Oreochromis niloticus: one gene and its partner. The protein of the gene in region 1 purifies or fractionates together with the protein of each later gene. This does not show direct contact. Links are inferred from orthologs where the notes say so. Each region holds a gene or a part of one and is shown in the gene's direction. Other genes may lie near its edges. The genes, in order: timeless and tipin.

Region 1 (12,384 bases):
GAGGAGAGAGGCAGGGAGACAAATGGAAAGGAAAGAATCAGATCAATGTACCTAGGTGATTCAATTAAGAATAGAATTTCACATTTTCTTATATTGAGAACCGGGTAACAAAATCCTCAGCTGGCACTGTTATGAGAATTGTAGAAGTTTATGCAAGAGTAAAATCACTTATATGTAAGATATAAGAAATTAAAACTGACAAAGAAAACACAAGTTCAAGATGTCAGCGAGTGCAAAAATCAGAGAGGGAAGGAGGGAGGGAGTGAGGAGACCTTAGTTTTTAAAGTAGTGTTGTGGAAGCTGGAGTGGCTCTCTGCCAAATGCTCTGGTTAAAAGGATGGTACCGTCGAGACAGAGAGCAAGGCAGAGGATTGGTGACAGTACAGAAAGAGGCAGAGTCTGGCTCTGAAGGGTAGGGAGTGGTCAAAGCTGGTGTGCTGATGACTGATTGAGTAAGGAAGGCATCATGTGGGTGGGGTGAGGAAAATGGGCGAGGGGGGAGGTGTGATGCTCATAGGGCAACTAGCCTGGGTGCATAAAAACCCTCAGAGCTCTTCAGTCTGATGTCCTGTTGCTTCACAAGCTTCTTGAAGCCTACATCACTACACCTATCCTCAGCGGCAGAGAGCAGAACCAGCCCAACCATGAGCCATTCTTCAGTGCATACCTCCTACAGGCGCACCTTCGGAAGCCCACACTCCATTTCGTTGTCCTCTTACACCCCCGTGTCCTCTCGAATGCCTGTTTCTTCGGGACGCTACATGCGTTCGATGTCACCTGTGGTGACATCCCGATCCACCGCCTTCCACCAACAGCGTTCCCGCCCTAGCCCCCAGCCCCCTCGCCTCTCCTATGACAAGGTGGACTTCACTCTGGCCGAAGCCATCAACCAGGAGTTCCTCACCACCCGCAGCAATGAGAAGGCCGAGCTGCAGGAGCTCAACGACCGCTTTGCCAGCTTCATTGAGAAGGTGCGATACCTGGAACAGCAGAATGGTGCATTGCAGCAGGAGCTCAACCAGTTCAAGGGCCAGCAGCAGCACGGGCAGCCCAACCGTGCATCTGAGCTCTTCCAGGAGGAGCTGAGGGAGCTGCGGCGCCAGATGGATGCTATCGGCAAAGAGAGGGACCAATACCAGCTGGAGAGGGATAACCTGGCAGAAGACTTGACCCTACTCAAGCAAAGGTTGGTACCAAGGTGACAGACAGACAGATAGACAGACAGATAGATAGATAGATAAGATTATCTACTTTTCTTTCCTCCCATTTTAAGCAAAGAGGAGACAGAGAATCTGCTGCGCTGCTACTTGACTCGTGTAAAGGGTGAGGTTGGGCGTGGCACAAAAGCAGCAGCATGATACAGAGGACACAGGAGGCTGCATCGTATCATGTGTGCAAATCATATCTGGCTATATATAAATGTCTTGAAAGACTGAGTAACTAAAGGTAAGGTGAAAAATGTCTATTAACAAAAGCAAAGAGACCAAAGGAAAAAAAAAAAATCTGTGACACTGTAATTGATGCCAAATAATTTCATGACATGACTGACAGTAAATTGTTTTCTTGACTGCCAAATCTGTGCAGTGCTTTACAAATGCACATTAGAATTCATGCAGACAGGAAGACAAGAGGAGCGAGGAGAAGGATGGAGAAATCGGACACAGGGAGGGGCTGGTGAGGACCAGCGAGGAAAGAGAGAGGGGAAATGGGACCAGAGGAAGAGAGGTTGGGTGTCAGGCGTGGTGAGGATAGCGTCAGGAAAAATCAATGTGACCCAATGACTCCATTAGGTGTATTTTCAGTGTCCCTCTGTGTGCTGATGGGATGGTGCCAGAGAGCCCATTAGGACAAAAGGCCCTGTGTAACACGACATGAATTAAAGATGAGGCAGCAGGACCCACTAATCTACTTTATGTCCAGCCCGGGTAAAACCTCTGTCTGACATAACAGATGGGCCTGCCTTCACCTGCACATCCAGACACTGACAGCCCAGAAGAAGCTAGCAGAAGCAAACTTAGATGTTCTGCATTTAGATCAAGGACTTTAAAACTTTAACACGTTTGACAAGAAATCCAATGAATAAGCAGAAACCTATAATTCATTTAAATATTTTCTGATATCACGCAAATTCTCTTTAATTTTTTATCACTGTAAACTAGCTTCACTAGTGTAATGATTTAAAAATATGTTAAAAAATTATAAGTGTGTGTGTACATAACCCTTCTGAGTGCATGACCTTATTAAACTGCAGAGACGCCACATTAGCCGAGAGGAAGAGCAGCTGATCCCAGTGGGCGCACTCCCAAAAATCCTTTTTACGACACAACAAATTAACAAATTGATCCAGAAAGCTTTTTGCCAGCTGATGCCCTGCTGCAACCTTTGACTCAGACAGTATTCTTGGGGGGAAAAAATAGTCCACCTGTTCTTCTCCCGTGCCTTTTTATAAAGGAGATTTTTGACTGTCATCGATCATTACTGAAAATATTGCATTTTGTTCTTAGGTTGGATGAAGAAGCCCAGAAGAGGGCAGATGCTGAGAATAACCTAGCTGCCTTCCGCAAGGTAAACAACAGGCTCAGTGGACCGTGACTGATTACAGTGTCCCCTTTCAGGTCACAATGGACAGCTTTGTTCCACCTCCAATACTTATGTAATACTGCCACAGTAATATGACAGGGCAGATTCCTAAAATGGCATTGATCCAGACCAGTGCACACAGGAGCCTGTGTACATTTTTTAGTTAATGCATGTTTTTATATAAAAATTGTATCCTCTAAGGGTGCAGATGTTTGTACAATTGAAACACACATACACTGAATGTTTTCTATTGCATTTTATTTATGTCTGCCGTATCCTATCTGATGATTTCCTTTTACATTGTTTTGTAGGATGTGGATGATGCCACACTGTCTCGTCTGGAGTTGGAGAGGAAGATTGAGTCTCTGATGGATGAGATTGAATTCCTAAAGAAAATCCATGATGAGGTAAGTGGTCCTATCACTGCATCCCACTTCTCTTTGTTTGTAAAAATGTGAACCTTCTTTCTTTCAGGGTTCACTTATCAAAGTACAGAATATTTTCTGGAGATCTAAAATCGTAACATTCTTTCCAAATACGTAAATCCTCTGTGATTTAATGTCATTTAAATCATTTAATCTGATTATGATGATTTAATTAGCATTTAAATCATCATAATCAGATTAACTGACTATTTAGTGAGTATAACACTAAACAATTAAATTCAATTTTATTTATATAGCTCCAACTCACAACATTAGATGCCTCAAGGCATTAGAAGGTAGAGACCCTACAGTAATACAGAGAAAATCCAACAACCCCCTTTGAGCAAGCACTTGGTGACAGTAGGAAGGAAAAACTCCCTTTTAACAGGAAAGAAACCTCTGGAAGAACCAGATTAAAGGAGGGGCAGCCATATGCTGTAACCGGTTGAGGGAAATGGGAGCGATAACAGATCAGGCACTAAAGTATTTGGAGCACAGATGCAGAGAGCTGGTAAAGGGGGGGGGGGGGGGGGGAGCAAATACACTCCAGGCTTGGATATGCAAGGATTTGTAAGAGACGTTCCTGTTAGTGTTTGCTAAAGCTTGAGAGTTAGCCATTATTGATGAGACCCAGCCTCCGGAGGAACTATTGTATGGACACAGATGTTTCTCACTGAGAATGTGAAAAGCATCTTTGCAGAAGGAAAATGGTTTTCACAATTTTTATGTGCTTTTATTCGTCATCAGGAAATCCAGGATGTACAAGTGAGCGTCCAGACCCAGCAGCTGAAGATGGAGGTGGACAGCAGCTCCAGGCCTGATCTAACTGGTGCTCTGAGGGAAATCAGAGCCCAATATGAAACCATTGCCTTAAAGAATATGCAAGAATCTGAGGAATGGTACAAGTCCAAGGTAGGCAGAGAGAAAGACACACAATGACGGGCCACACACAAGTATATAAGTATTTGGTGTTTTTTTATGTGTACTTCATCTTTTGCTTTTTGCAGTTTGCTGATCTGACTGAGTCTGCAAAGCGCAACAATGATGCTCTGAGGCAGGCCAAGCAGGAGGCCAACGAGTCCAGGAGGCAGATTCAGTCTCTTAACTGTGAAATTGATGCACTGAAGAACACGGTAAGCTGGAGTACCAGATGTCATTAGTCTATCATAATGTACTATACACAAGTATCAGCAGTCAAGATGTTTTTGGATAGCCGTCTAAAGTCTGATGTCCAAATGTGGGGTTTTTGTTTTCTCAGAATGAAGCTCTGCTGAGGCAGATGCGTGAAATAGAGGACCAATTTGGCAATGAGGCAGCCAACTACCAAGATAATATAGGCAGGCTGGAGGATGAGATCCGCCACCTGAAGGAGGAAATGGCTCGCCACCTTCGCGAGTACCAGGATCTCCTCAATGTCAAGATGGCTCTGGACATTGAGATTGCCACTTACCGCAAACTGCTGGAGGGGGAGGAGAGCAGGTAAGCGAGAACATGCTGCGTCCATGTCTTCACTAGTAACAACATGATCAGTATCAGTATCATCTGTTTCTTCAAAGCTTAGCCCCAGATAATGTTACAACTCAAGTGCAACAAAGCAATTAGCTTTTTATTACATGTTGTAACACCTTCATGTTATTTTTCTGTTTAGGATTTCTGTTCCCATCCTCAATATTGGCATGAGCAATCACCTTGGAGGTAAGCTACAGTTGTTGTTTTTTTTTTCACAGTCAAATATAAGATTAAATTCTCTCACACCTTGGCATTAAAGCTGTAACCATTTGATTGCTCTTCATTTTCTTCAGCATGGAAACTTTAAAAGTTTTCAGAATTCCCATTTTGTTTCTGAGCTGCTCTCTTTGGCTTAATCACTGGCACAAATTGTAATGAAATAAAAATGTGTTGTGACTTCTTTTATCACAGAAAACATTTTCCAAAAGAAAAGTTCATCTTTTTACTGATTATTCTAACAGGAGGGGCTCATGCCGGAGGCAGATGTAAAAGTAATCTAGGATTCTCATTTAAAACAATGGGTTCTTTTACTTCTAGGACAAAGGGGGCCTAGAATCCCAGAACTTTGCCTCTTATCACTGTCCAGTAACAAACTCTTTCAGTCATTCATCAAGATGATTCAACTTTTCTAATAAATCTCTCAAAAGTAAAACTTGTCTTTTTGTGAGTGCACATATATCTAAATGTTAAAATCTAAGCAGCATTTTAACGGAACCTTTTTGCAGACTATGAAAAAGCTCCGGATAGCATGGGCAAGAGGACTGTCGTGATAAAGACAGTGGAGACTAGAGATGGCGAGGTAAGGTGATTTATAGAAAAATGTTGCTTACCAAAGATCACAACCCTGATCACTGGCAAGTAACACAACGACAATATTAGTATGCATCACGTAGAAAAGTTATACTAACCTGGATATTATGTTCCTCTTTAGGTGCTGAAGGAATCCAGGAGGGAGAAAGATAGAGATTCTGGTGCAATTGACAAGGATGACATGGATGAGTAGACAGAAACTCATTACATAATATGAAGGCCAGTGCCATGATAGAAACAAAACTGAAAATGTTGATGAAAAATAGAAAAACAAACTCCGATCTGTACACTGTAGTTCTCGTTCTCACTAGTTAAGAGTTTCACTGTTTAGCAAATTGTCTCTCAGCATAGGTGCAACCATGGATGAATTCCTTTAGACAGTGTCAATCTGGTGCTATTTAAACCACCCAACTTTTTGCTAAACACTTTTGCTTTCTGTAGCAGTAAAACCCCTTTATAAACGAACCGCAGAGGCCTTGGTTTACAGTGCAATCCTAAGATGATCTCACATTTGTAGCAGAGTATTAAACCACACCCTAAACTACGTCATTTATGTACAGCATTTTAGTTGTTTGTGTTATATAAATATCTCTCTCTATATATGAATGCCTTACTAACAAACTGCTTGACACTGCCCTTTGGCCAACAAACCTTACAAACCGACTGAGAACAAATCAAGATGTCTGCATTTGTTTTAGAAGCTTTGCTGTCCTCTTACTGTGCAAATCACCATTCACCAAAGACATGGATTATTAGTAAATACAATAGGAAATTCTGACAGTGAAAATATGAAACTTTACTGATTTTGCTTTGCAATGCCGTGTGTATCTGGCACAACCGAGGAAAGAACATGTATGTGAGAATAAAAGTCATCCGTGAAAATAAACGCCATCCATGCAAATCAGTGTTGTTGTTGTGTGTCCATCCATGAATGTAATCATTCCATAACCTGCACTTTGCAATTTTCACGTGTGAAGTGGGTTGCATAATAAAATTAGAGGATAGATGCAAACGATCGATCCTATTACGCTATTAGTTCCGATACCAATATTTGGCATCCATGATATCGATATGTGGATCAATCTGGCTACTTTTAGTATGTACTGGTGAATCGGGTAGTAAGAGAGCTGAGGTGTAGCTGGGAGCAAGACCACAAAGGTATTAGTCAATGACAGCTTAAAATAAATTCTAATACATAATGGGAGCCAGTGTAAAAAAGGCCACAGTGGGATTCTTTTGTTCTCGTTAAAAGCCAGACAGCTGAGTTCTGAACAGATGTTTGTTTTTGTTTTGTTTTGTTTTTTTGTTTTTTGTTTTTAATAAGACAGGTAAAAATCCTGTTGTAGTAATTTAGGCCTTATGAGGGAGGTTGCCTGTTGCCTGTACCTTTATGTTGTTTCTATTCTCTCTGGTCTCAATCGCGGGTTACTGAATCTGGTTTTCCAACAGAATTTCTTAAGTTAATGCAACGCTTAGCATTTTTGCACACGGTCTTATCCATCACATAGGACCCTTTGTTATAACTATCTCTTTTTCCCTGAGTGACACCTCCCAGACGAACCTTCATCGCAGACTGCAGCGGTTTTCCACACATTTCGCGAACTTTGCTTCCGCCATACTTGAATCCTGCTGGCTCAAATCTCTGTATTAAGCTTCTTCAATTAAACTTATCACAGCCATGTCAGTGCTGTACATTCTTTTTTCAGTCCCCAACTTAAAAAGGCGCTACCTGAAAGGCAGAAATCAGGGCGCAGACAATTCAAGTCGTGACGACATTCTACATCCGCCTCCAGAATTTTCGCTCGCGGTCTTGGCGCGAGACTTGTCCGGTTTGTCGCAGTTGTGTGACTGCAAGTGGAAAACAGCCGTATATTGTTAGAAAAGACTGTCGCCAAATGCGCTGGAGGTTGTTTAAAAGGAGCGACTGAAACAACATTTGGACGACCTAGAAGGTAAGTAAGTTGTTTCTACTTTATTTATACTGTATGAAACGTAAAACCTAAGGTAGCTGCTCTGACACAAGATTACCGATCAGAAGGAAGACTGCAGTCTTAGCAGAAATAGTAGCATAGTAGTATTATAAGTATATAGCATACAGCTCTAAATATGCCATCAATAACATAAGTCAGGTTTCTTCAGCAGGTCCTGTAAATAAATAGTAGTAATTGTAGTAAAGCTAGAGTGCACTCAGTTTGTAACGACACACACTTAACAAGGTTGGTCATCAAGTCAAGCACAGCTGAGGAAGTATATGGAAAAATTTGTCGCTTTATTTATTAGGTACTCATTGCTGGTACCTGGTTGGACCTTCGTTTGCCTTCAGAACAGCTTAATTCATAGATTCAACAAGCTGCTGGAAACATTACACAGAGATTTTGGTCCTTTTTGACATGACAGCATCATACATTTGCTGCAGATTTGGTGGCACTACATCCACGATGAGAATCTCCTGTTTCACCACAACCTAAAGATGCTGTGTTGGATTCAGGACAGTGAACTCAGTGTCATGTTTAAGAAACTAGTTAAAGATAGTTTGAGCGTTATGACATGATGTTATCCTGCTTGTAATCATCCATCAGAAGATGGGTTCACTGTAGGTATGGTCAGTAGCAATAACTTCGTTGGCTGTGTTGTTTAAACAATGCTCAGTTTGTACTAAAGGGTCCAAAGCATACCAAGGAAATGTCCTCTACACTATTACACCACCAGCAGCAGCCTGAACCACGTTTTCATGTTGTTTTCACCAAATTATGACCCTACTGTCTGAATGTCGCAGCAGAAATTGAGGCTCGTCAGACCAGGTACCATTTTCAGGTCTTCTGTTGCCCAATTTTGGTGAGCTTGTGGTAATTGTAGCTCCAGTTTCCTTTTCCTAGTTGACAGTAGTGGCACAAAGTGTGGTCCTCTGCTGCTGTAGGCCATCTACTTCAAGGACACGTTTGAGACACTCTTTTGCTAACCTTGTTTGTAAGGAGTAATTATTTCAGCTTAAGCTTTTTGTGATTATTCTGACAATTTTAGGTCACTTACACTGATCCCCTGGACTTCAAGGCACCCTGATGGTGTGTGGACTTATTCATGATGAACTGTGAACTTTTGGCAACGTGCAGTGCTCTAGGTTATCTGGAGGGAGACACCTATCACAAGGAGGCTGATTGCTTAGGTGAGTCCATTTGAAGTGTAAATATGTATATGTAGTTGTTGTTTTGATCCAGAACAGTCCTCTCACAGCTGCCCGGTCTCTATGTCACAGAGAGTGTGAAAGACTTGATTCGCTATTTACGCCATGAAGATGACGCCCGTGATGTCCGGCAGCAGTTGGGTGAAAGCCAGATTGTACAGAATGACCTTCTGCCTATTATCATTCAGCACAGACAGGACAAAGCCTTATTTGATGCCTGCATCAGGTACGAATCCTGAGAAGTCTCATCTATAAAATATATGTGTATATATAAATATGCTTATCTGTATTTTAGTGAAGGTTATTTGGGTATATTTTTTATCTTATTTTTGTGTTATGTGATATGTTTTGTGATTCTGGAGTAAAGATTGATTGATAGGCAAGTGACAGTGACAAATAAAAATAGTAATACTGTCCTATAATACAATTCGTGTAACATGTGTTACTATGGTGACAGATCATTGTTAGAAAAGTAATAAATTTGATTCTCTGTCGATACAAGTTGGTTTAAAAAAAAATCTGTTACTTAAAATCTCTCTTTTTTTTTTCTTTTTTTTTTTTTTTTTTCTAGACTCATGGTCAACCTCACGCAGCCTGCCATGCTCTGTTTTGGTAAAGTCCCAGATGACCCGGTGTTCAGGCATCACTTTTTGCAAGTGACGTCTCATTTGCAGGCTTATAAGGAGGTATTTGAACAGCAATAACGCAAGGATTTTATAAAAAGTGTTTTTTATGTAATTACAAACAAAATATTTGCAGCCCATGTTTTTATAGCTCACCATAAAAGTATCACTGTTGCCACTGTATCATTATCTTTCATTTTCAGGCATTTGCCAGTGAGAGTGTGTTTTGTATCTTGAGTGAGACATTGTACAACCTTCTACAACTTGTGAGTATTTCACTTGTTCAGATTTTTGTTTTCATTGAACCGTTTCCACTCGGAGTAAAAATGCTTCTGATTCTTCATGTGTTTCTGTCTGCATCCTCACCTTTGGTCACTCAGGACTGGGAGCAGAGACAGGAAGAAGATAACCTGCTGATAGAGAGGATTTTGCTGCTGGTTAGAAATGTGCTTCATGTACCTGCGGACCCCAGTGAAGAGAAGGTTTGACTTAAAAAACATTATGCTGATTCCATATAAGTGCTTTGCAAGTTCTTCCCATCCCTAATCTCTCTCTTTTTATCCCTTATTTGCAGAAAGTGGATGATGACGCCAGTGTCCATGATCGAGTGCTGTGGGCCATTCACATGAGCGGCTTTGATGACCTGATCAAGTTCCTGGCCTCAGCACAGAGTGAGCAGCAGTGGAGTATGCATGTGTTGGAAATCATCTCCCTTATGTTCAGAGACCAGGTTAGACAGAAAAATCCATTTTGGGAGTGCACATCTAAATTTTCTAGCTTTCTCTGTTTCAGTGGGTTTTGTTGTTGTTGTTGTTGTTGTTGTTGTTGTTTTCTTTCTTTACAGACTCCAGAAGCTTTGGTGAGTGCCGGCCATGCTCGTTCAGCAGAAGAGAAGAAGAAGGACTCTAATGAGCTGGAGGCACTGAGGCAGAAGGAGCATGCAGAGAAACATTCTCGCACTTTACAGAGAGGGACCAGGTGCAGACACACAGATGTTCTTTAGTGCCAAGTTTACCGTTGCCAATTACAGAAGAGTTTAAGTACACATAGATTTTCAAGTGGTGGTGTGTGGGAGGTCCTGGGTAAGCAAGGGTTCCAACTCGAACCTCTGAACTTCTCAGTCAAAATCACTTCCTTCCTGCAATTCTGGACTGTTCACAATAATGTGTATTATATTAGAAGTATCTGTGAACTAGGAATACCTCTGGGTGAGGTGCATCTACAGAAGAGTTGCAGTAAAAAAAATAGTTTCATGGCAAAAGTCAGCAGAGCATTAACACACATGGTGGAGTTGCAACAAGTTGGCTTAGAATTAGCGTAGATGGATGGATAAATGTCATTATATGCTTGCAAAAATGTTCCCAAAAGCGCTATAGCATCCTCAGTACTGAGACACAATGTATATGCTGTTGTTTTCCTCTTAGACACTCTCGCTTTGGAGGGTCTTTTGTTGTTCAAGGACTGAAGGCAATAGGGGACAAAGATGTGATCTATCACAGGAACCTTCAGAATGTGAGCTGTTCAATTTCCATTAAGAAGTCTTTCCATTAAGTGATCGTGTTAAGAAAAAATAATTTATTCTGTTTTATTTATTTATTTATTTTTTTAAGTTTAAAGATTACACTCACGACATTGGCAAAGCAGTGAGACGTGTTCCCAAGAGGCATCGAAAGGCCCAAGAAAGTGGGGAAAAACGACGTTCGGCCTTAAATGTTCGACTTTTCCTGCGAGAGTTTTGTGTGGACTTCTTGGAGAACTGCTACAATCGACTCATGTACCTCGTTAAGGTCGGCCGCTGTTACGTGTCTTATTTTTTTGTATAGATGTACAGTGATATGCTGAACACAAGTTTTTCTCAGCTAAATTATTAAAATGCTTGTTTTGTGAACAGGAAGATGCTTCTAACCTCGACATTTAAAACCATAGAAAACATCCAAAAAGGGCATCTAATGTTTTTTGTTTTCACCAGATTTTTGTTTTTCTTTGTCTTCTCAACAGGAAAGTCTCATTCGTGAGCAGACTCAGCAACATGATGAGACCTATTACCTGTGGGCACTCAGCTTTTTCATGGCTTTCAACAGAGGCAGTTGTTTCCGTGCCGACCTAGTTTCTGAGACCATGTCAATCCGGGCGTTTCATTTTATTGAGCGTAACATTACCAACTACTATGAGATGCTGCTCACAGACCGCAAAGAGGCCACTTCTTGGTCCCGCAGGTAAGGCGATCATTTAGAAGCTGGTTAATGGAATCGAATACTTGAGTTGGCCCAACACTGCTGCGATTTGTTCTTTTTAGGATGCACTTGGCATTAAAGGCATATCAAGAACTGCTGCTAACTGTGAATGAGATGGACAGATCGGAGGATGAAAGCATCCGGCAGAGTTCCAGCGTCATTAAAAGTAAGATTGTAGGTTTAAAAGTTTATATATAACTTTTGTTCAAGGTGAACAGTTTTTCACATGGTCTTCTAGCATATGTATAGTTGTGATCAGACGTTTGGGCATGAATGTCATGGTAAATTTGGGCTTTTGTACAGCATAAATCTTAAATGATTTTAAAAAACAAGACTTTGAGTGCACAAGTTTTAATTTATTTTGGATTTTCTCTGAACCACGCAGGGTCAAAAGTATACAAACAGTCTCAAATATGTACCACTAATACACTCTTTTAACAAGTGGTGCTGAAGGTTCTACAATGACTTTCAACTCGCCAAGGCCTATTAATTTCTCGTTCATGGTCATGATTGAGTACAACTGCTATGAAAAGGATTTGCTTGATAGCACTCATTGGATTGACAAGTATTAAGTACAGTGGGAAAGTCCAAGAACTTCACAGACGTGCTAAGGAGAATTGTAGATTTGCACAAATTGGGAAGATTGCTTGGAGCCACTTCTAAACAGCTGCACATTCCAAGATCAGTAATTCAGATGTGTCACCTCTTTGCCAAAGTCTGGCACAAGACCCAAACTGTCACCCTCAGATGAGAGGAAATTGGTCAGGATGTTCAGGAACAACCCAGGAACCTCAAGGCTCAAGCCTGCCATGAACTAGAAACTGCTCAAAGACCAGCATCACTGTCCACAGTGAAGTGGGTTTTACATCAATTGAGAGACAACCCAAACACCTTCTGGATAAATGTTTTAGGGTCAGATGAGACAAAGATTGAGCTGTTTGGCCACAATGTCAAGAGGTATGTATGGAGGAGTGAAGGTGAGGCTTTCAAACTGGACTTAATTTGCCTCCAGTGGTACTGGT
Region 2 (12,537 bases), on another chromosome or scaffold:
GTAAAAAGCTTGGTGGGGCCAAACAAAGGAAAATTCAGTCTGAAGCTTGTTTTTCTCTTATCTAACAGGGTTTTTCTTTGTTTTGCCCCTCCAGCTAGAAGAAAGTCAAAGGAAAATCAGGAACTTGCAGGAATGGAACAAGCTTGGTCAATCCATGATGAAGTTTAGGTACATACTTTGATGCTGTGTGAGATTAATATGATTCTCCCAGCTTTTACTGAGTCCCAACACATTTCAATAACACATCAGGTACAGATAGGAGCTCTAGAATATGCGAGGGTGTTATATGTAAGCTTTAAATTTACATTTCATGTGGTAAGCGGTCTCTAACTTTGAAAATAATTTCTCAACCCTGTCTTTCTTTCTCCATCTCCAGTACTGTTACATAATAACATCTTTTTCTCTCACTGGGAAACACAGCGATTGCACCTTTAGAGAGCAGACACATTTTGGAACAAACTGCTCAGAAACTGTGCGTTTGGTTGTGTGTTTGGGATTTTGAGCTACTTGAAAAAGCTTCTGTCCCTTTATGCTCACTCCTCTTCTGCTGTACTGCAGCCAGCTTTACTTACATGCACCATAAACAAATCACAGGGATGAGAAGGGAAAAAAGGCGTGTTGAGGTTGTTAGCCTGCCACAGGATATCAGGATTTTTTTTATTACTCAGCAAATATTGCTATACCAGCAGGACACAAACAATGAAGTAATCTGTTTATTAGATCGAAATTAATTAAAGGTGCCAGAATGCTGTTCCACATCCCTCCAGCTCAATTTAAGCCCTGCTCGCACATTTGACTTAATTAAATAAATCATTCCTAACATTATATAACACTTCATATGTTACAATTAATATTTGTTTTATTTGTATTTCATTTTGCCTTGTATGTTTTTTGTTCAGATTAGTCAGCCACCAAGCTCATGCACAACATAATGTTACAACAATGCTGAATATCCTCGTAGGTATTTTTAGAGTGTAGATGGTGGTGAACCCCACAATAGAACGTGTCACACAAATTAAGCAAAAGTTGCCGAATAGAATCATCTTACAGCAGGAATGAACCCATATTAGAAATAGACAAAAGTAATACAGTCAGAGCTTCACACCATAAACATACTCAACACGTATTTCTACATTTATATTTAGTTTTATTTGTAACTCTAGGTATTTGTTAGTGTTTTATCATTTTCTTTGTAAAACTGGTATAATATGTTTCATGCTGAAGTATATAAAGGGTTTTTCTGATCCTCACCACCATAGCATCCCATCTTATTATCTTCTTAAAAGAGTGTTGTGCTTTTGCACTAAGGAAATTTGATTTTTTATTTTTTATAGCACACGATAAAATTTAAATAAGTAAGCTGGGGCTCTAAATGTATTATGTATTATTGTAGGGTCTACCTTACAATATGAAGCGCCTTGAGGTGACTGTTGTTGTGATTTGGAGCTGAATAAATGGCGATACACTAACTCTCGGTTCCATGTACGTGTTGCAGATCCATTGATAGGCCACATGGAGATGGTAACAGAGATCGTGGTTCCCACTGTGTGTACACTCTGCATCCTCATCAGTGCGGTTTTCTTCATGTTCCTGCTGCGTCGACGCCTCTGAAAAGTACACACAGTCACATCATTAAGAGCCTCACAGATAAAGAAAATAATCTAAGATTTGCTTCCATGCTGTAAGCTTGTATCCTGTCTCAAGCTTATTGCTGATTTAACTGTCCTGCTGCTGCTTTGAAAAAGAAATGTTTGGGGGTCATCATGAAAAATCCAAAAGCAAACGTCTGTCGCCATGTGAGACTGAATTCCAGATTTGTGCACGATTATTTCATTAATCAGCTGACCCTGTGTGATTTTTGAAATAGCTGTATTCTCTATTGGCTACCCAAGTTCATTTTAGAGAGGTGTTGGCTTACTGTCCATAAGTTTCTAATAAGATTGACGGGGAGAAGGTGATGTCCATGCTGTGGTCATGAAACTTTAATTAAATATATTTTTAAGAATTCAAAGGTGAGTGATTATTTAGGTTGATTTCCTTTGTTATTACTTTATCTTATGAAAAACAACCAATGTAAAAATGTAATAAAGGAGCCCAGTGCGCTACCACCCAGTAAACTGGGGCTGAGATGGACATCTTTAAAAGTGGATACACAAGACTTAGGATGTTGAACGATCAAGCTACCATGGAAGAGGAAGACCACAGAGAAGATGCATGGATGTCGAAGGACGACATACTCTGTCGGTGTAGGGTAAGATGGAGGCAGATGATCTGCTGTGGCAATCCCCAAAGGGACGGGCTGAAAATAATAATATGAGTTATTTATCATTTTGTAATGACTTCAAAACTTGAATTGGAAAAAAAAAACTCTAGAAAACAACCTGCTGTACTTCAGAGACTCCTGCTGGCTGAACAGGCTTTCAGGCTTCCTTCTGTTCCTGCACTGTAATCATGTATTTTTATTGTATGTGTTGAAGTTCATTCACAGCTGTACAAACATATTGCAAAAGTAAATTAAATTCTAAATCAATCATTAACAAAGAAAATGGTCTGAGAGCCGGATATTTGAATTACACTCTGACATATCATATGAGAGACTTCCATAAATCAAAATCAACAAGAATAACATACTGTGAGGGAGGACCCAACAAAGAACAAAGAAAGGAACACTGAGGCCAACACAGGATAACAAGAGGATGGGAAACAGGTGGAAACACAGCTAGGTATACTGTGTATAAAGACTAATGAGGAAGTAAAGGAGACACAATATACAGGGAGGAACAGACACTGAAATAAAACAGGAACTGACTGAAACTGAGACACACAAACTTGATGCAGACAGAAGCCAAAACATGGAGACCAAAATAAAGAAACAGAGTAGGAATACACACAGGGATAACAAACCTCTAATTAACTAAATACACAGATAAGTAGAATGTAACCACAAGACCAGAAAAAGAAAGCCAGAATGTCAACTGAACAGAATACAGAAACTTTTAAACCAAGAACAACCAAAAATACCCCAAAACATCAGAAAACCCCAAACTCTGAGTCAACGACAGACGGACAGAAATGTTTATATGTGCCGATGAGCCCGAAATATAAATGTGTCTCAGGCAGATGATGCATAACATTGATTTAGGCAGCTGGAATCAGTTTTTAGTGGAAAATGGTAAATAGACTGGTTCTTATATACAGTAGTGTTTTTCTACTGAAGCACTCAAAGTGCTTTATAAAACGTTTCATTGACACATGCACTCTTTTTTATGCATAAGTGCTTTTTATCTGACTTTTCTATCTTCACCCTGTCTAACATTCACACGCTGATAAATGCATCAGAGAGCAACTTTGGTTTCAGTATCTTGCCAGGGATAGTTTGGCATGTAGACTGGAGCAGCTGTTGAACCGCCAACTTTTCAAATAGTAGATGATCTCCAAATACACAACCTGCTCCAACTCCTAAGATACAGCCACACAAAAATATTCGAAGCTTCATGAAATCATTCATAATAAAATACCACAGAAGTAACTTTTTTTCTGAAGAAATGTTTTCTCTACTTACTCATGAAGCAGGGAGAAAAAGTAGAAAGCTTATACAGACCAGTAAACAGAGTTTAGTGGAGAACAGTTTGGACAAATGTATTGTATGGCAAAAGCTGGTAAAAGAGGAATTTTAAATTACCCTGAAATGAAAGTAAGATGAGAATATGCAGTGAAGCCCCCTGGTTTGTCTAGGGAATTAAAAAGGAAGTTCAGAGAGGTGCACCTGACTAAAATTCTCAGTTCATAGTGGTTCAGACAGCAAAAACAAAAATAGTGTTACATGCTGGGAGTATTTGAAAGAAATGTAACCAAAGTAATGCAGGGAGTGATGACGGGTTTTCCAGTAGGATCTAGAAAAACAGTAACAGAGTGTTAACAGTGGTGAGGTTTGTAAAAAAAAAAAAAAAAAAAAACAGGTTATCAGATCTGTACTTGGAATTTTGGAATATCGGATTGGAATGTCAGGAGGCTGCATAAGCTTTTCGTTTAGGCCATATATCCCTTCACCCCTCAGGTGCCAAAAACATGGACACATCAATGTACTGTGCTAATTGCACCAAGAATTTAAAGATAATGTACGAGATAAATGTTGTAACTGTGGTGGGCAGCAAATGATCCGATAGCAACACACTTAGAACACATTATAATTGAAATCTTGAGCAGTTCCTCTTTACAGCCCATGCGACAGATCGTCACAATCAGTGGAGGAACTTGGCAGACATTCACAAGCAAAAGTAATCTGATGTGGGGACTTGATGCAAGCAGCATGTTAGATGGAATTACAATGTCCAGAATGGAGCAGTTATTGACGAATGAATGGATTCATCTGCATGACATAAGCTGTAAAAGGTTAAATGCTAGAGCTGGAATTATGGAATCACATTAGTTTCAGATTCACTGGCCAGTTTTTGTTCATAGCAGGTACTTAACACAGAGCTGAGTGTAGAGGAGTATGACACAGAGGTGACACCAGACGGGGTGTTTCAGTTCTGCTGATTAGGAAACATTTACATTAGGTAGTGATCAGGAAATGCAAAATATGTTGATGTTGAAGATTTAAATTCTTCTGTATATAATGCAAATTTATAGGTAATGAATATCTAGGTTTAAATTATGAAAAGGTAACATTGGCAAAAGGTTATTTTTTAAAATTCATAGTTAAGTTCAGTTCAATTCAATTTTATTTATACAGCACCAAATCACAACAACAGTCGGCTCAAGGCGCTTTATACTGTAAGGTAGACCCTACAATAATACATGCAGAGAAAAACCCAACAATCATATGACCCCCTATGAGCAAGCACTTTGGCAACAGTGGGAAGGAAAAACTCCCTTTTAACAGGAAGAAACCTCCAGCAGAACCAGGCTCAGGGAGGGGCGGGGCCATCTGCTGTGACCGGTTGGGGAGAGAGAAGGAAGACAGGATAAAGACAAACATGTCTTTTTGTTAAAGCAACTCTGGTGAACAAGAGCAACAAAGGACAGAAATTACAATGATATAAAACAAGCATTTATTACAACAAGTAGAAGCGTCTGATGATTTATTAAATATAACTTTCAGTGAAATGGGCACTTTGTGAATCCAAACTAGCAGCACCAGGAAAAGATCAGATTTGTTATATGATGAAGAGGAAATCTTTTCTGACTCTTAGTGAGTCATCAAAAAATGTGTTATTAGAATTATTTAACAGAGTTTGGGAGTGTGGGAAACTGCCCATCATTTAGACCAATGACTACCTGGGGAAGCAGAGCATCCAGGTATCCTTCCACAAAATACTGAACCCCAGGTTGCTCTCTGATGTGTTTATCAGGTTATGTGTGTGAGTGTTAGATAGAAAGCACTTACTGGGTAAATGTGTGTGAATGGATGAATATAAAGTGCTGTGAGTACTCAAATCAGAGCTTTAACATCCAAGATCTGCAAAATAATGGAGAATATTATAAATAAAAGAGGATCATACTGTATAGAATATCAAAGTGGTTCCAGCATAATGTTTAGAACATGAAATGAGAAAAATATAAGACATGATGTTTAGAGAGGGGCTAGTAAACAAATGAGGAAAACTGTTATCAATGGTTGAATTTATAGATGATGAAGGATTTTATTTATTGTATAGACAAATACAAGTTACTCTGAAAGACTTTCGGTGGAAAGTGGAACACCAGGGAATATGGTGTGCCCTTTCTTATTATTCTATTTCTTGGACTGTGGTTTGATGAAAGGGTGACAGGGGCTATTCAGAAAATAGTAGACAAATTGCAAGAAGGCATTAAATATAATTCAGTGTTTAGTCGAAAGTGGGTTCATCAGATCTGTGCTATACTGTAGATGTGTCGTATATGATGCAGCAGCAGACACAGCTCTCCTGAAATGAAACTGTATTCAATATCAGGCAAGATTCTGGATAGGTGTATTTAAAACAGCTCCAACAGCAACATTATTGGTAGACACAGAAAAATGTCATTAGAAATCAGAAAAGAGCTGCCAAAACTTCTCTCTCTAGCAAAAGTACAGGGTCATGGACAGGATCACACAGAACATAGTAAGGGGGGGAAGAGATGGAAATGTGGTAGAAATAGTAGAAAGGAAGGTTTCTAAAATTAAAATTAAAGTAGGAGAAATGACAAACACAAGCTTAGATTTGGGCACACTGGTTTAAGCAGTCCATTTATTCATGAAAGGGAAACACAAAAAAGGGGAATGTGATTACTTTGGAAAACACATGTTATGTTAGATTGTAAGAAATAACCGGTTAGGAGAAGATGACTGACCCATGATCTCAGTAGAATGACAGCACACTGAAACTCATCGACTTACTGTAAAAACACTCATGAGGTGAAAGTTATCAGGCCATATTTCATTTTTAAGGCAAAATTGTTTGACAGAATTTGACTTTTCAGTGGACAATCTTTACCATTTGGTGGCGCTAATGCACAATTTTGCTGTTTGCTGACCGCTAAAAACAACCAGGAAGAAGGAGACGTTCGTTCGTTCCTGTGGAGGGAAAAAAGGCGCATCTTATAGGCTGAAGTTAAAAGTTGTAGCGTTTCTCTGTCGACTGCTCATAACAGGTATGACAATAAAGTTTCCTTTCATTTTAAACACAGCTGCTATTTCATTTACTTATCACACTTTAGAGTTCCTTCATCTGACAGCAGTTAGCTTACATTATTCATAACTTACCCAAAGTCTCTCAGTTTGGTTCTGTCCAAACTGTAGCCGCTAACGTTAACGGTGCACATAATGGTGTCCTGCTGCTGCTGGTCTGAACGTGACATCCTACAGAGTCGTGTGGGAGCTCTTTGGGTTTGGGCCAGATCAGCAGCTTGTTTAGTTTGCCACCTTCCTGTGGCTAAGCCTGTGAGCCACTGATGTGTCCGCTTCACGGACGATCCCATTAAGGGCCTAACAGACGAAGTGATATCGGCCCGATATTCGTACTCTCTATTTATTAATAAAAGTCAAACTTCATTAATGGTAAATGACAGAAATCTGAGGAGTTCTTGCTGGTTTGTATCCACAGGAGGATACAAGCAGTCCACAAACATTATGCTTCTGTTTGTAGTCACCGTGCACACATGTTGTGTTTCATTGTGTCAGTGTTCATTTTTAATCAATTTTTTATGTATACATCAAGATTAATGTTCCAAACAAATGACACTATACAGCAAATACATACATAGACATATACAGCAAAAGGAATTAAGCTGAAAAGATGTTTCACCTTCTAAATGTCTAAATTGTTTGTTTGTTTTATAGAATAGAATTCAACTTTATTGTCATTGCACATGTCACAGGTACAGGGCAATGAAATGCAGTTTGCATCCATCCAGAAGTGCTTTAGCCATGATATAGATATATTACAATATATATTAGCAATAATATAGATATGTAAGTATATTACAGAAATGGGTCTATTATGGTATGTTATAATGTACACGGTATGAAGTATGTTATGAATATTCTATAACTATAAGTATGTACAGGCTGTAGTGAGTACAAGCTATGTACAGGCTATAATCAGGATATAAATATGAAATAAAAAAAACTATACAGAAATATGAGATGTACAGTTATACAGAAATGTGAACTATGCAAGTCATAAACAGTTGTAGGATTAAAACTTATTGTATGTACAGAATGATTATTTACACAGAATTATACAGTAGTGCAGTTAAGATAAGTGAGATATGTGGATCATTTCTACAGAGGCTATATAAAGTGCTAGTGGTTGTGAGTGGTGGTTCAGTCCATGTTATTATTGTGTGTTTGAGGGTACAGTTGTCCATTGTGTGTGGGTGTAGGTGGTTGTGGGTGTGTGTATGTTCAGTCCATGAGTTTAACGTGGGTCAGATGTCAGGAGGCAGAGTTCAGGAGTCTGACAGCTGTGGGGAAGAAGCTGTTCCGGTACCTGGTGGTCTTAGTCCGGAGGCTCCTGTAGCGCCTCCCAGAGGGCAGGAGGGTGAAGAGTCCATGTGATGGGTGACTGGGGTCTTTGATGATTTTCCCAGCCCTTTTCAGACACCGCTTCCTGTAGATGTCCTTTATGGCAGGAAGTGGTGCTCCGGCGATGCGCTGAGCAGTTTTCACGACCCTCTGCAACGCCTTCCGGTCCGAGGCAGAGCAGTTCCCGTACCAGACTGTTATACAGTTGGTCAGGATGCTCTCGATGGTGCAGCGGTAGAAGTTCACCAGGATGTCTGAGGACAGGTGGTTCTTCCTCAGAGTCCTCAAGAAGAAGAGGCGCTGGTGAGCCTTCTTGACCAGCTTGGAGCAGTTGGTCGTCCAGGTGAGATCCTCGGAGATGTGGACACCCAGGAACTTGAAGCTGCTCACACGCTCCACAGCCGTCCCCTTAATGTGGATGGGTGGATGTGGGTCAGCATTCCTCCTGTAGTCCACGATGAGCTCCTTGGTCTTCTCAGTGTTAAGCAGCAGGTTGTTTCTGTTGCACCACTCAGCCAGACGATCCACCTCCTCCCTGTAGGTGGCCTCATCGTTGTCATTGATGAGGCCAATCACCGTGGTGTCATCTGCAAACTTAATGATGGTGTTGGAACCATCAGCAGGTCTGCAGTCGTGGGTGAAGAGGGAGTAGAGGAAAGGGCTCATCACACAGCCTTGTGGTACACCAGTGTTCATTGTGATTGTTGATGAGCAGCGGTTATCCAGCTGGACATGTTGGGGGCGGTTGGTCAGGAAGTCCAGTAACCATTTGCAGATGAGGGAACTGATGCCCAGGTCTGTCAGTTTCCTGATGAGTTGTGAGGGGTGGATTGTATTGAATGCTGAACTGAAGTCTATAAACAGCATTCTGGCGTAGGTGTTGTTGTTGTCCAGGTGTGAGAGGACAGAGTGCAGTGCGATGGAGACTGCATCCTCTGTGCTCCTGTTCTGGCGGTATGCAAATTGGTGGGGGTCCAGGGTGGGGGGGAGACAGGATTTGAAGTGTGCTAGGACCAGCTGCTCTAAGCACTTAGTGATGATGGGGGTGAGTGCTACAAAGTCTGTCAGTTTGTCATTCCCTGTTATTACTGCTGACTAATCACTCAAATAAAGTGGCACAACATGACCGTGGGTCTGATTTTTCTGGTAAACTTGTTTAGTAGTCCATTGGAGACGTATAGTCTCTGTTTTTTGAACTTTAATACTGGACAGAAAATTGTCTGCTTCCAAAAACAAAGGGTAGCATTAGAATTTGTGTGAACAGCAAAGCAATATAGAAGATGTTCTTTTCTCTTTTCTGGTATTTATGTGTTGTGTCACATCATTTTGGCTCAAAATAGTTTACTTTATTGCTATGTTTGGTTTTTGCTATTTTATTACTATATTTATATTTGTATTGTTCAGCACTTTGGTCTACCAGGTGTGTTTTTAAAGTGCTATATAAATAAACGATGATGATGATGATGATGAAAATAGTTTACCGAACAGCTGAAAGACTTTAAAACAAACCTGTTACTTTAATGATATTTCTGTGATACTACAGAGTTGTAAAAAAAAAGTATCACAATAATAATTCATCCAAATTGTAACTCTTAAATGTCATTATCAGCCCAAAAGTTCACAACCAGTGCATCCCTGATAGAATGTAAATATATGCAAATCTATAAATTGTATTATGTATATAACTGTGAAACAAACATAATGTATCATAATAGTACATTTCAGAATGTGGGGTATAATTCCAGGTTGGATGAGTGTCTGTACAGCTCCTCCTGTTGATGTAAAAAAAGTAAATGCCAGTTTTTTAGGTTTCATGTTGATGTTGTAACACAGTAAAGAATTAATGTTACAGAAATAAATGTAATTCATTTTTTCAAATTGCAGTTAAATTCATCTAAACTGAATGCTGATGCTGTTGACGACTGGGGCTCACACGTCTTTTACTTTGTCTCCAGGACCGACTCACCATGCTTGACCAACAGGAAAATAGCCCGCATGACATTCCTGACTATGACGGCATAGAGGATGAAGCTTTCCCCCCACTCCCACCACCACACTCCCCAGGCCGGGGAGCCCAGGAGGAAGGAGACCCTTTTGCAGATGGTAGATGCTGCTGTGCTCTTACAGGATTACTATGAGGTCTTTAAGATGTGACATGATAATTCAGCACTTTGTATGTGAGGAGAAGGATTTTAAATTCATGGTTTAATGAAGAATCACATAGAAAAATAAGAATCAGTAAAAAGAGGCTAATATGGGAGAAATATTACCTCTCATTCTAGTCCTTCCACAAAGCTTTTTGGAACAGCTTGATAATAATGAATTTGTTAGTTCAGCCTAGAATTAACAAATGCATGAACTGGTTTTTCAGCATCACTCTGAGACTGGATGTTTCTAACAATAACAACATGCATGTTTTTGTTTGCTTGAGCAAATGAAATCTATCAGATAGATACTGTTCAAACCAGCACATTTCTTCTGTAACCTCCAATCTATAATTTTTCTGGATTTAAAAGATAAGCTTGAAGTTTGCCATGCTGCCAACAGAATGAGTTAGAAACACATCCTGTTGTCATGTGCTCTGTTTAATGCAGGAGATGAAGGTGAGGTATCACAGCTGGCTGATGTCCCTACTGCTAAAAGGAGAGGCGTGAAGAGACCCCAACCCAAGCTGGACTCCCACAGGTAGCAAAGACATTTTATATTACGACAGATGGTTGAAATGCATTAAAATGCGCATTTAAATAGGAATTTGATGCCATCTTTTGTGAGCTCAACACGTTCTCACTCCCAAAGCGTAACATTTTACGCTAGGTGACAAATCGTCAACATATTACGTTTTCGGCTACCCACCATAATGACGACCTCGGAAAAATGAGGAAATATGAGAACCGTCTGGACTCAATCTACACATGTTCGCTCTTTTTCTTCAAATCGCTTAGAAACACGCTATTTAACGTCATTAAAGTCTTGGTTAAGGTCAGGAATAAGGTTATGATTAGGGCTGGAATACAGGGCTGGAACGTCTATTACCGCGGGAGCGTCATTGCACTGGATTTCAGCCATAACCCGCCGCGTACCATAAGAACGCCGAAGGTCTCCTTTCGCGTTCCTCGGGAACGCCGCGGGACGTGACAAAACGTCAGCATGTTACGCCTCGGGAGTGAGAACGGGCTGGCTGGGACACAAGGAGGCCAAAATCATTGATTGACGTGTGCACAGTATCAGTGGGTTAGCGTCAGGATGTTTTAAGCTTGCTGCGTTGTTTGTGTCGCCGGTGTCTGATGACAATTTTCACATCACATCCTGTGTAACGCAACACAATCTTTGTGGTCATGCATCTCTTGGTTTGATTGTAACTTGGTGCGTTGCGATGTGGCCGGGTTGAACACACGAGTGTACGATCGCACTGGTTTTATCACCATTTGAGTAATAATCGTGCACAGAAGCTCAGAGACACACTGACACACAGAGGGAGATGTTGCAAATGTTTGAAAACTTAAGTTTGTGGAAAGAACTTTGCACAAAAAAGTGATGTGATATTATCTGAGTGGTGACACCTGTTGTTTAGGAGAATACTGCAGCGTCTTCTTACGCTTTAGCGGCGGATATAAATGACTGCATCTGTGTGATGATGGTGCATCTTCACTCTGCCAGTCATTTAAAGAAGAAAGACTCTAATACCATTGTTGTTTTCATCATTTGGATGGAGAAAATTCCCCGACTGGAAATTGTCAGAGCGTTGGAGACATCCCTGGATGTGTGTGAGAAAGATGGATGCCCTGGTTATGCCACACATGAAAAGCAGAGCTGGTGCTGCTGGATTGCAGGCAACCTGGTTAGTAATGCCAACAATAAGTCAGGCTCGTTCCCAGTGGGTCTCCCAGTGGGTGTCCCAGTGGCACTCCTTTGTTACTGTTCTGTTCACAATATTACTGGACAGAACTAAGTCATACTAAATCATAGGATAAATAAGCTTTTAAGTAAGAACGTGGATTATATTTAGGATAAAACTTGCAAGCTGTATTAAAGAAAAACAGATTTTCATTTTATAAAATATTCAAATTAATTGCAACTTTGCAATAGGGCTGGGCCATATTATACCGTTCACAATAATACCGGTACAATGTTAGGCAACGATAAGAAAATGAAATATCGCGATAGAATATGGGTAAAACGCGCATGCGCAATGCCTTTGTTTTCATACGCACATGGCCGATTGTTGAGTGAAACGGATGAACCAGAATCGGTTTGTAAAAATGGTGCCACTTGAGTGATGTGGAACTGGTTTGGTGTTTGTCCGTCAGACACACAACAAAGCACATTTTTTTGTAGAACATGCAAGCAGGCGTTGTTATTGCCGTATTTGTCGGACTAAGGTGCAAGGTGCTCTGGGTCCTAAACTCCATCGGCTTCAGGCCCCAAAGTCAAACGAACACTGCAGCATCACTGAGAGTTAAAAACTATCTAAATTCTTCCATCTTTAATAAAACGATCAGCATTGCTGCTTTACCAGGTGTAACTATGAAGTTTAACATCCAGGCATC

Evidence for each region.
Region 2: the proteins of timeless (region 1) and tipin purify together in Homo sapiens (affinity purification with western blotting; 6 studies listed by BioGRID and IntAct, counting the BioPlex papers as one, with this or other methods). This does not show direct contact. The link is inferred for Oreochromis niloticus from reciprocal best matches to the Homo sapiens genes TIMELESS and TIPIN.

Annotation. Positions count from the first base shown.
Region 1 is NC_031970.2:24,485,034-24,497,417, reverse strand, and holds the start of timeless (protein timeless homolog), read left to right. Parts: upstream 1-7,088; 5' UTR 7,089-7,276; intron 7,277-8,345; 5' UTR 8,346-8,402; coding exon 8,403-8,487; intron 8,488-8,577; coding exon 8,578-8,731; intron 8,732-9,076; coding exon 9,077-9,191; intron 9,192-9,331; coding exon 9,332-9,394; intron 9,395-9,508; coding exon 9,509-9,610; intron 9,611-9,702; coding exon 9,703-9,858; intron 9,859-9,972; coding exon 9,973-10,106; intron 10,107-10,552; coding exon 10,553-10,640; intron 10,641-10,738; coding exon 10,739-10,915; intron 10,916-11,126; coding exon 11,127-11,344; intron 11,345-11,424; coding exon 11,425-11,528; intron 11,529-12,384. Other genes in the region: prph (peripherin), read left to right, coding at 564-1,186, 2,505-2,565, 2,892-2,987, 3,753-3,917, 4,013-4,138, 4,264-4,484, 4,654-4,700, 5,240-5,313 and 1 more. UniProt on the Homo sapiens protein: Plays an important role in the control of DNA replication, maintenance of replication fork stability, maintenance of genome stability throughout normal DNA replication, DNA repair and in the regulation of the circadian clock.
Region 2 is NC_031965.2:3,354,925-3,367,461, reverse strand, and holds the start of tipin (TIMELESS-interacting protein), read left to right. Parts: upstream 1-6,480; 5' UTR 6,481-6,615; intron 6,616-9,945; 5' UTR 9,946-9,957; coding exon 9,958-10,093; intron 10,094-10,584; coding exon 10,585-10,675; intron 10,676-11,696; coding exon 11,697-11,828; intron 11,829-12,537. Other genes in the region: lctla (lactase-like a), read left to right, coding at 1,496-1,611.